Linked DNA regions of Schizosaccharomyces pombe. Changing the gene in region 2 together with the main gene of any one other region gives a genetic interaction. Each region holds a gene or a part of one and is shown on either strand. Other genes may lie near its edges. The genes, in order: pek1 and yam8.

Region 1 (4,212 bases), on a different chromosome or scaffold from region 2:
AAATTTTTCGAGTTTCCAAAGTAAGAGGTAATCGACCATTTGTCAACATAAATGCTATAAATGCTACCTAGAAGAAGTGTAGTGGCATATATTTCAAACAGAAGTATATCTTTGCGACGAAGCTTCAATATAGAGGTTTCTTCATTCCAATAATGACTAGCAGTTTTTTCAGTCATTTTTTTTAAATAATTTTTATTAGGCAGACAACGTATACAAATTAAACTTAAAAATAAAGATAGAACGGTGTAGTGAAAAGCAATTAATTCATTGAAAGAGTTAAGGACATGTATACCCTGGGAAGTTTGGTGTAGTTACACCACCAACTTACGTGCGTAGACTAGAAAAAAAACGAATCATTGCCTCACGTTATAAGAGAACGAAAAGAAATAGTCCTTAATTGTGGATAATTAAATATACGAATTCTTTCGTTTTTTAAGTTGCCATATAACGCCTATTTTGCCTATTTTTGTTAAAAAGCTAGCAAGGCGTAAATCTATCATTTCTCGCTACGATTTGAGTATGCATAATCAAGCCAAAATTATTTCTGTTAAAAATGTTAAACCCATAAAATTACTATAAAGGAGGTATTTGTATAAAGAAAATTAGAAAAACCGTTAGCAATTAATAAAAAGTATATATTATTATGACTTTCCTATTTATTTCATACAACAAGCGAACTGGAAGACAGTTAGACTCATAATATTTTGCCATTAATCAGATTATGCATTCTCCAATGTAAAGAAATTTAGCATAAGAATTTTCAAACAGAATTTATCAACTTACAGTGCTAACATATGACACTATTTCTTCTAATCAGACCAGACTTGACGAAGGAACTCTTCCATGTCCACATGAATTCTCTCAAACGCTTTAACCCAAGGATGGGTAAGCATTTTTTGGGGTCCAGGACGACGAGTTTTGTCTTTATCCAGACACACGCATAGAAAATGTTGAAAGGATTTCGACCATTTAATACCGGGTTCTTGAGGTAAAAGGGGAGGTGGCATATTTATTATATACGAGAGCAATTCAATAGGCATTGGTGGGGGGCTACCCTCGGGAGGGAATGGAAACCGGTTTAATGCGACCTCCATCAATGTTAAACCCAAAGACCATATATCTGACGATATAGTATAAGATCCCCCAGAAATTCGTTCAGGCGCCATGTAATACGAAGTTCCAGTGAATGTGCCAGCGAGAGAGTTAACCAATTCTCCAGATACACCAAAATCGCATAACTTCACTTGACCTTTTGACGTCAGAAGGATATTTGATGGCTTAATATCACGGTGTATTATTTTCCTGTCATGTAAATAGCTTAAACCGCTAAGGACACCGAATGCAATCTTGCCCAATGGTCGTTCTCCAGTGCGTCCACCTTGACTGCGTACGCGTTTGTATATCGCGTCGAGAGATCCTGCTCCGCAATATTCCATAGCTATGTTTAACTGACACTCTGCGTTATTGTAGCAAGCGCCATAATATTTAACGATGTAAGGAGAGGTACAACTTCTGTTGATTTTTAACTCTCGAAGGAGTTGCTTTTGTAAAGCGGTATTCGGAGCAGCTAATACAGTTTTCATAGCGAAAATCATCTGAGTCCCACGAATTCTGCATTTCCTTACAGAGCCACTAACACCTTCACCTAGACTGTTCATGTACAAAATACCTCCATTTGTAACCAATTCATGTAGGTGATCATCATCAAGTTCTTCCAGAAAGGAAGGAACAAATGTTTTACTATCCCGGCTCTCCTTTCGCTGAGTTAATTTCGACTCGCTAGAAAACACCAGGTCTGTAATCTCGACAATTCCTTGATTGTCATTACGTTCAGGATGACTTATATATTCTTCAGAGAACCCATTACTGGTATCTAAGTTCAAGACAGGTTTTTTGGACATAGAGGCATGGGCGCTTTCTTCGATATTTTTTCAATTTGTAGAAAGAGTGACAAGAGATGACTGATACCAAGTCCAAAAGTTTGTTTGTATTTTTAACAAACTTCAATTTTTATTCTTCTTTTCCAAAAACGCAAGGAAAGTAAATTCTAACGTATGGTCTTCCCGCTAAATAAACCTACCAATTATAAACTTTTTTGAAGTTTTTGCTTCCTGAATTAGAAAATTAGAGGATAGCACTATAAACGGAAACTTTGATGGAAGAGTTAATTCCTCGCAAACAAACAACCGAGGCCTCTATTAGAAGAAATCGTATAGTTTTCGGAAGCTATACTAAATACGATTGACCATTATTAGTATAACCTACATTTCTAAATTAGGACTTCACTAAATAACTTATGGACTTAGCTATGTAGATACGTTATTTTAGAATTAGTGAGACCTTTGTTAAAACGACTTCGGGAATTGTTCATTACGAGTATAAGTTAATGTAATTATGAGACTATCATATCCTGTGAGCTTTCTTCTTTTATTTACTATAAATGTCTACCTCTAAAATTATAATTAATTTTGTTCAAGGAAAACATAAAAGAATATATTTATCATTGCATGATTTTCTATGGCTTATAATAACTACATACAATCCGTTAACTATTATAAGAACACGATTAACTACGTAAAGTTCAAATATTGTGTTTTGCACGTTGGTTTACCGAAAAAGCACTAAATAACTTACAAGCAAACTGAAGAAATTAGTTTGAGTTCTATCTGTACTTATTTTAGAGAACAATAAAAACTTTATGTTAACCATATGAAGATTTTATCTGTGTATGTTGACCTAAAAGTCATTGAAAAATGTCGCATCAGCAATAATGTCTAAAGCAGCGTAATGTAGCGTAGCGTGTTAATTTTGCAGTAAGGGCAACAAGTTGAATCCCAATAGTTTGGTTTGACAGTACAGTAACCATTATATTTAATTTAAATAAAACCCTTACATCGGGGAGAAAACATGTCAGAACATACAAGAAAATCATTCTCTGATTTAGGAATATCGCCATGGCTTATCGATACGCTAAAAGCACTTGCAATATATGAACCTACAGATATTCAGGAAGGAGTAATTGCTCAGATTTTAGAAGGTATGCTTACAAAAATTAATAAAGTAAAATTAAGTGTAAAATGTGCCTAACAAATAAAAATTTATAGGACGTAATTGTATTGGAGGTGCTAAAACAGGTTCTGGTAAAACTGCTGCTTTTGCTTTGCCTATTATTGAAAAATGGTCTAAGGATCCATCAGGAATATTTGCTCTTATTTTGACACCAACCAGGTATAAAATATAACATTATTGTACTTTTTCTTAAAATTTAAATTAGTATAAATGTTAACTATTCTACTACAATTAGCTAACTCGAACAGAGAACTTGCAATACAGATTGATGAACAATTTGCTGCTTTAGGTGCTAATCTTAATTTAAAGCATGCGCTCATCGTTGGAGGCATGGATATGATACGACAATCTATTGATTTATCGAAACGGCCCCATGTTGTTGTAGCTACTCCTGGTCGCCTAGCTGACTTGATTAGAAGTAATGGTGAAGAAACGATAGCCGGACTACGTCGAATAAAATTTTTGGTAATGGACGAAGCCGACCGTTTGTTGTCTCCTACCTTTGCTGATGACTTGGATGATTGCTTTTCTGTTCTTCCAGCCTCTGAAGATCGTCAAACGCTTTTGTTTACTGCAACTGTTACTGATGCTATTCGTCAGCTCAAATATCAGCCACAGAAAAATAATAAGCCTCCCCTTTGGTTATACGAAGTTGAAACTGATAACATTTCCGTACCTTCTACTTTGCAGCAAAGTTACATATTTGTTTCCTCACAAGTACGAGAAGCTTATTTGGTGCATTTGTTAACGATTCCTGAGAACGCTAAAAAGTCTGCAATTATCTTTGTAAATCGGACTCGCACTGCTGAATTGATATATTCTATTCTTCGATTGCTCGAGCTTCGTGTCACCGAACTTCATTCAGAAATGGTACAACGTGAAAGGATCAATTCACTTGGACGGTTTCGTGCGGAAGCTGCAAAAATTTTGGTAGCCACTGACGTTGCAAGCAGAGGTTTGGATATTCCTTCTGTGCAACTAGTAATTAACTTCGACCTTCCTCGTGACCCAGACGACTATATTCACCGAGTAGGTCGTACAGCTCGTGCTGGACGCAGTGGCGAGTCCATTTCCATTGTAACGGAGAGAGATGTTGATTTAGTCCATGCTATTGAGGATCGAGTAGGAACTAAGCTTTCTGAA
Region 2 (4,047 bases):
CTTAACAACTTGTCTTCGATGCCCAACTTGCTAATTAAATCTAAGTTTGCTAAGCCAGCAACCCCAGCAGGACGAAGAGTTCTAGGACCTTGCTCAAACAAAACCGTTCCTGTTGGAGAATCTGCACACGGGATTTTGACCGACTGAAGCCATCCACCTAAACGAGGACCTTTTTCGTACAAATCAATAGTACATTTTGGAATCAATCTAGCAAGATAAAATGCTGTACTAAGACCAGCTATACCTCCTCCACAAATTGCAATTGACATAGAATTGTTGGTTCAAGGCAAATGCCAAAATGATGGGGGAAAGAGGAATGACATGATTTCAACTCTGTCAACTTATCCAAAAGTCAGTAGTTTTAAGAACGTGATTTAGTTAAAAGACGTGTTACAGTTTATTACGTTGATAGTTTACAGATACGTAGTTTTAAATAAATAAATAAATAAATAAGATGATTTTGGATGACAGATATCTCCAAGGTCTTCAATTTTTTTATTAAGAATTTCATGTAAAATTTTTAGATAGGCAAATAAAAGATACACTAGCACATATGAATACAAATGTATATGTGCAAGTAATATACTCAAAAACGACATAAACGAATGACCATTACTCGACAAACAAAATCCAGAAAATCAAGGAAATAAAAAAAGTCCGCCATGAAATGTTAAGAAGAGCAGAACCACTTTCATAAAATTCCACTCCGGGTGCATTACATGTGATTAATCCTGTTACATTGCTCACTTCTCCATAAGAAAACTCAAGGCCATAACCAGCCTTCGGGCATGCAAAGCCTAAATCTAAAGGACAACTTGAAGCTAATGAATAGCATAAATAAGAGCAAGGAAGGACCTCTTTATAGGGGCCTGGTTGTATTACTTCGTCAATAAGTGGATAACGGGAATCGTAGTTTTTGTAAATTAAGTAGGAAGAATTATCATTAATGTCGGCACATCGCGGAATGACACTGGCGCAAAGCCAATTTTTGTAGCTGTTGGCACAATCACTACAATTTTTTAATAATGAATACGCAGACCAAGATGTAGCATTACAAGGTATCAAATCGAGAGTATAAGTAAAGTTTTGATAATATCCGTAAGCTTGCTGATCATACCATTCTGCCAATGCCGATGCAGAAAATAAACTAGAATTTCCAGGCACAGCATAAGCAACTTCTGAGCAAAACTGCAGATCGTAGATCAATTGACAAGCTGGACTAGTCTTTGTGGTAAAAGTGACTCCTGGGTAAACAGTACCACCCGGTTGCCCTATATTGGGCTCGACTAGATACGCTGTGTAAGTGACGTTGGGATCCAAACCTTTCAAATAAAATTGTTCTTTAGCAAAAGGACCGAGACCACGAAGGGTCATTGAGCGATCAGCATTGTTAGTGTTAACAGTTGAGGGGTTGTTTTGAAAAGCACAGAAAGAACTTGAAAATTTGTTAAATGTGTTATCATAAGTGGAGTTAGAAGGGTTGACATATATCTCATAAGAAGGGATGATGGAGGTCTCATTTGTAGTGAGATTTCCCGTAATGAGTAGTGCTGCTTGAAAGTCGGTGTCCTGGGCAAACAGAAATTTAGTTGCATTGTATTGACTAAAGGGAGTGTCAATTCCAGCAGCTAATTCATAATTAATCACATTATTACCTTCTAAAGTAGATTCACCTGACTCGACAAAAAAATTGGGAGCAAATTGAGAAAAAGCACTGGACACAGCAATATATAAAGGTGAGTAGCCGGTTACAAATATCGTTGCTAGACCATTTTCAGAAGCAGTAATCGTAAAATTATCTAAAGGAAGAGCTTCGTCAAACGTATTGTTCGATATATATAACATCAAATCGTTCGCGCCATCAAAAGCAGTGCAGGTTGATAAAGTTAGACTAACGTTGTAAGCTGTGTTTCCTTCCCATGTTAAGTTATAGTAAGCAGTGCTTTGATCATTTATATTACCATTTATGGTATTGTTCAGCAGCAAGCTAGTATAAGTAGCGCCAAATATGTTTCTAGTTATCGACCAGAAAAAGAGTATCTTCAAAATTAAATGGGTGCTAAAAAAAAACATATAGAACCTTTAGTAATTACTTTCAAGGCTTTAATATTCAAAAGTAAGCTCAAAAGTTTCGCACATGCAAATTGAGAAGTTAATTGAAATTTCTAAAAAACTAGCAAGTTGTATATCATTAAGGATCGTTAAAAATATTCAAATAATCATAAAAGTAAATTTTGGACCTAATTAATATGGGTATTCGCTTTGCGAGAGAAAATGATAGATTTTAGATCTTCAGTCGGACATGCTTGGTTAAGAAATGAATGTGTCAGCAACTCAGCAGCAGTAGCTCTAAAAATGGTATCGATTGTAAGACAGGAATTTAAGAAAGATTTTAAGTTTTTAGAAACTAAATTAGGTTTTTTAAGAGTTGGAGTTCCATTTTTTGCTATCAGATACAATGCACGAATTGGATCCTCTCTGAGATAAGGCGGTTCGTTTTCAATCATCTCTATAATCATAATTCCAAGACTCCATATATCAACTTTGGTCCCATATTCGTTTTGCTTTACTACTTCAGGGGCCATCCAATATGGTGTTCCAACCATCGTAACTCGTTTATTAGTACGGTTAGACAATCGAGCACAAAATCCAAAGTCAGTAATTTTAATATTTCCAGAGTTGTCGAGTAAAACATTGTCACTTTTAATATCTCTGTGAATAATATTTCTGGCGTGCAGATGCTGAATTCCCTTGCACGTTTCTAGACAAATACGAGCAATTTGTGCTTCTGTAAGCTTACTTTTTTCAATAATATCAGTCAAAGATCCAGCGTTCATGTACTCCATCACAACCCATAAATGCCTTTCTCGAACAAGAAATGAATCTAAATATGTCACTATGTTAGGATGAATCGATTCTCTCATGACAGTGATTTCGTTTAAGATTAGTTCCTTTCTTGTTTGGCACTGCAAATCAATACTTTTTATTGCAACTGAGTCAAAAATACCTAATTGTTTTCCTCCGACGACTTTGGCTAAGTAAACAGATCCCGATGCACCCTGGCCAAGTTTATGCTTAACATTAAAATATTCGACAGGATCATGAGAAGTAACTGAGTCTTTTAACATGGCTAAAGCCTGTCTATCAGTCATTCTTCTACTCAACGTGTTCTTTGAATCTGCTTTGACCGGTACTTTGGTTACTTTTCCGGTCATGATAGATTCTACATGACTTTTGTCTTCAATAAAAGGCCTTATGATATGCTTTTTATCCGTCTGTATGGTTGTCTTCGGCTTGCATCTTTCAGTAATATTCATTTTAGTAACTCCAGATGTCGTGAGTTTATGATGTTTGTCAGCATCGCGAATAGAATACGATGTAGTAGAGGATCGTGGCAGTGTCTCTTTGCAAAATGAAAAACTATCTTTAGTTTCGCTTGTTGTATCCAACTGCTTACTATAAAAATCCAAAGCTTGAATAACTGCTTTCGGCTCCTCCATGCATTCTTGTTTGGTAATCGAACTACTCTGAAGTAGCAATATCCACTCCTTGGGTAATCCGACATAATTTCCTTCATTATCAATTCCCACATGCACTTGGTGTTTAGGATTCATCGGACTTGAAACTTTGCTAGCAAGCGCACGAGAAGATATTAAATCCATCCACTCATAACATTCCATATTATCGGCCACGGACAATTCACAAGCTTGAATCTCAAAATTTTTGGTACTACTTTTGAACCTCAATTTAAAGCAGAATGTCCTAGACTTTGAACGCTCTACTTTTTGAATATCCTTCAACAGCAACGTAACCTGAGCACTTTCAGACTTGCTTCCTTTATATATCGACAGAGAATTGCTAGAAAGTACTAGCCACTTTTTAGTCCAAGGGAGATACTTCATTTTATCTTCCTTCAGCATAACCCATCCTGATCGAATGATTCCCTTGCTTTTCTTTGTATCTTTGAGAGATGGAATTTCAACCGGCACGCCTCTTACACTTAAAAGCATTTTGAAAACGATGCAATAGTTTTGGTATACATGCTTC

The links.
Region 1: of yam8 (region 2) and pek1, changing one suppresses a phenotype caused by changing the other (phenotypic suppression), as found in Schizosaccharomyces pombe (one study listed by BioGRID).

What each region holds. Positions count from the first base shown.
Region 1 is NC_003423.3:4,310,452-4,314,663, reverse strand, and holds pek1 (MAP kinase kinase Pek1), read right to left. Parts: upstream 2,222-4,212; 5' UTR 1,902-2,221; coding exon 810-1,901; 3' UTR 524-809; downstream 1-523. Other genes in the region: fit1 (CoA pyrophosphatase (FIT) family lipid storage protein), read right to left, coding at 1-176; ATP-dependent RNA helicase Dbp8, read left to right, coding at 2,908-3,037, 3,105-3,228, 3,318-4,212. UniProt on the Schizosaccharomyces pombe protein: Involved in the mkh1 signal transduction pathway that plays a role in cell wall integrity. Activates spm1/pmk1 via phosphorylation.
Region 2 is NC_003424.3:273,115-277,161, reverse strand, and holds yam8 (plasma membrane stretch-activated calcium ion channel Yam8), read right to left. Parts: upstream 2,074-4,047; coding exon 613-2,073; 3' UTR 501-612; downstream 1-500. Other genes in the region: hem14 (protoporphyrinogen oxidase), read right to left, coding at 1-269; PAK-like kinase Shk2, read right to left, coding at 2,241-4,010. UniProt on the Schizosaccharomyces pombe protein: Calcium-permeable, cation-selective stretch-activated channel (SAC) that functions together with CCH1 to mediate calcium entry into cells. Required during mating.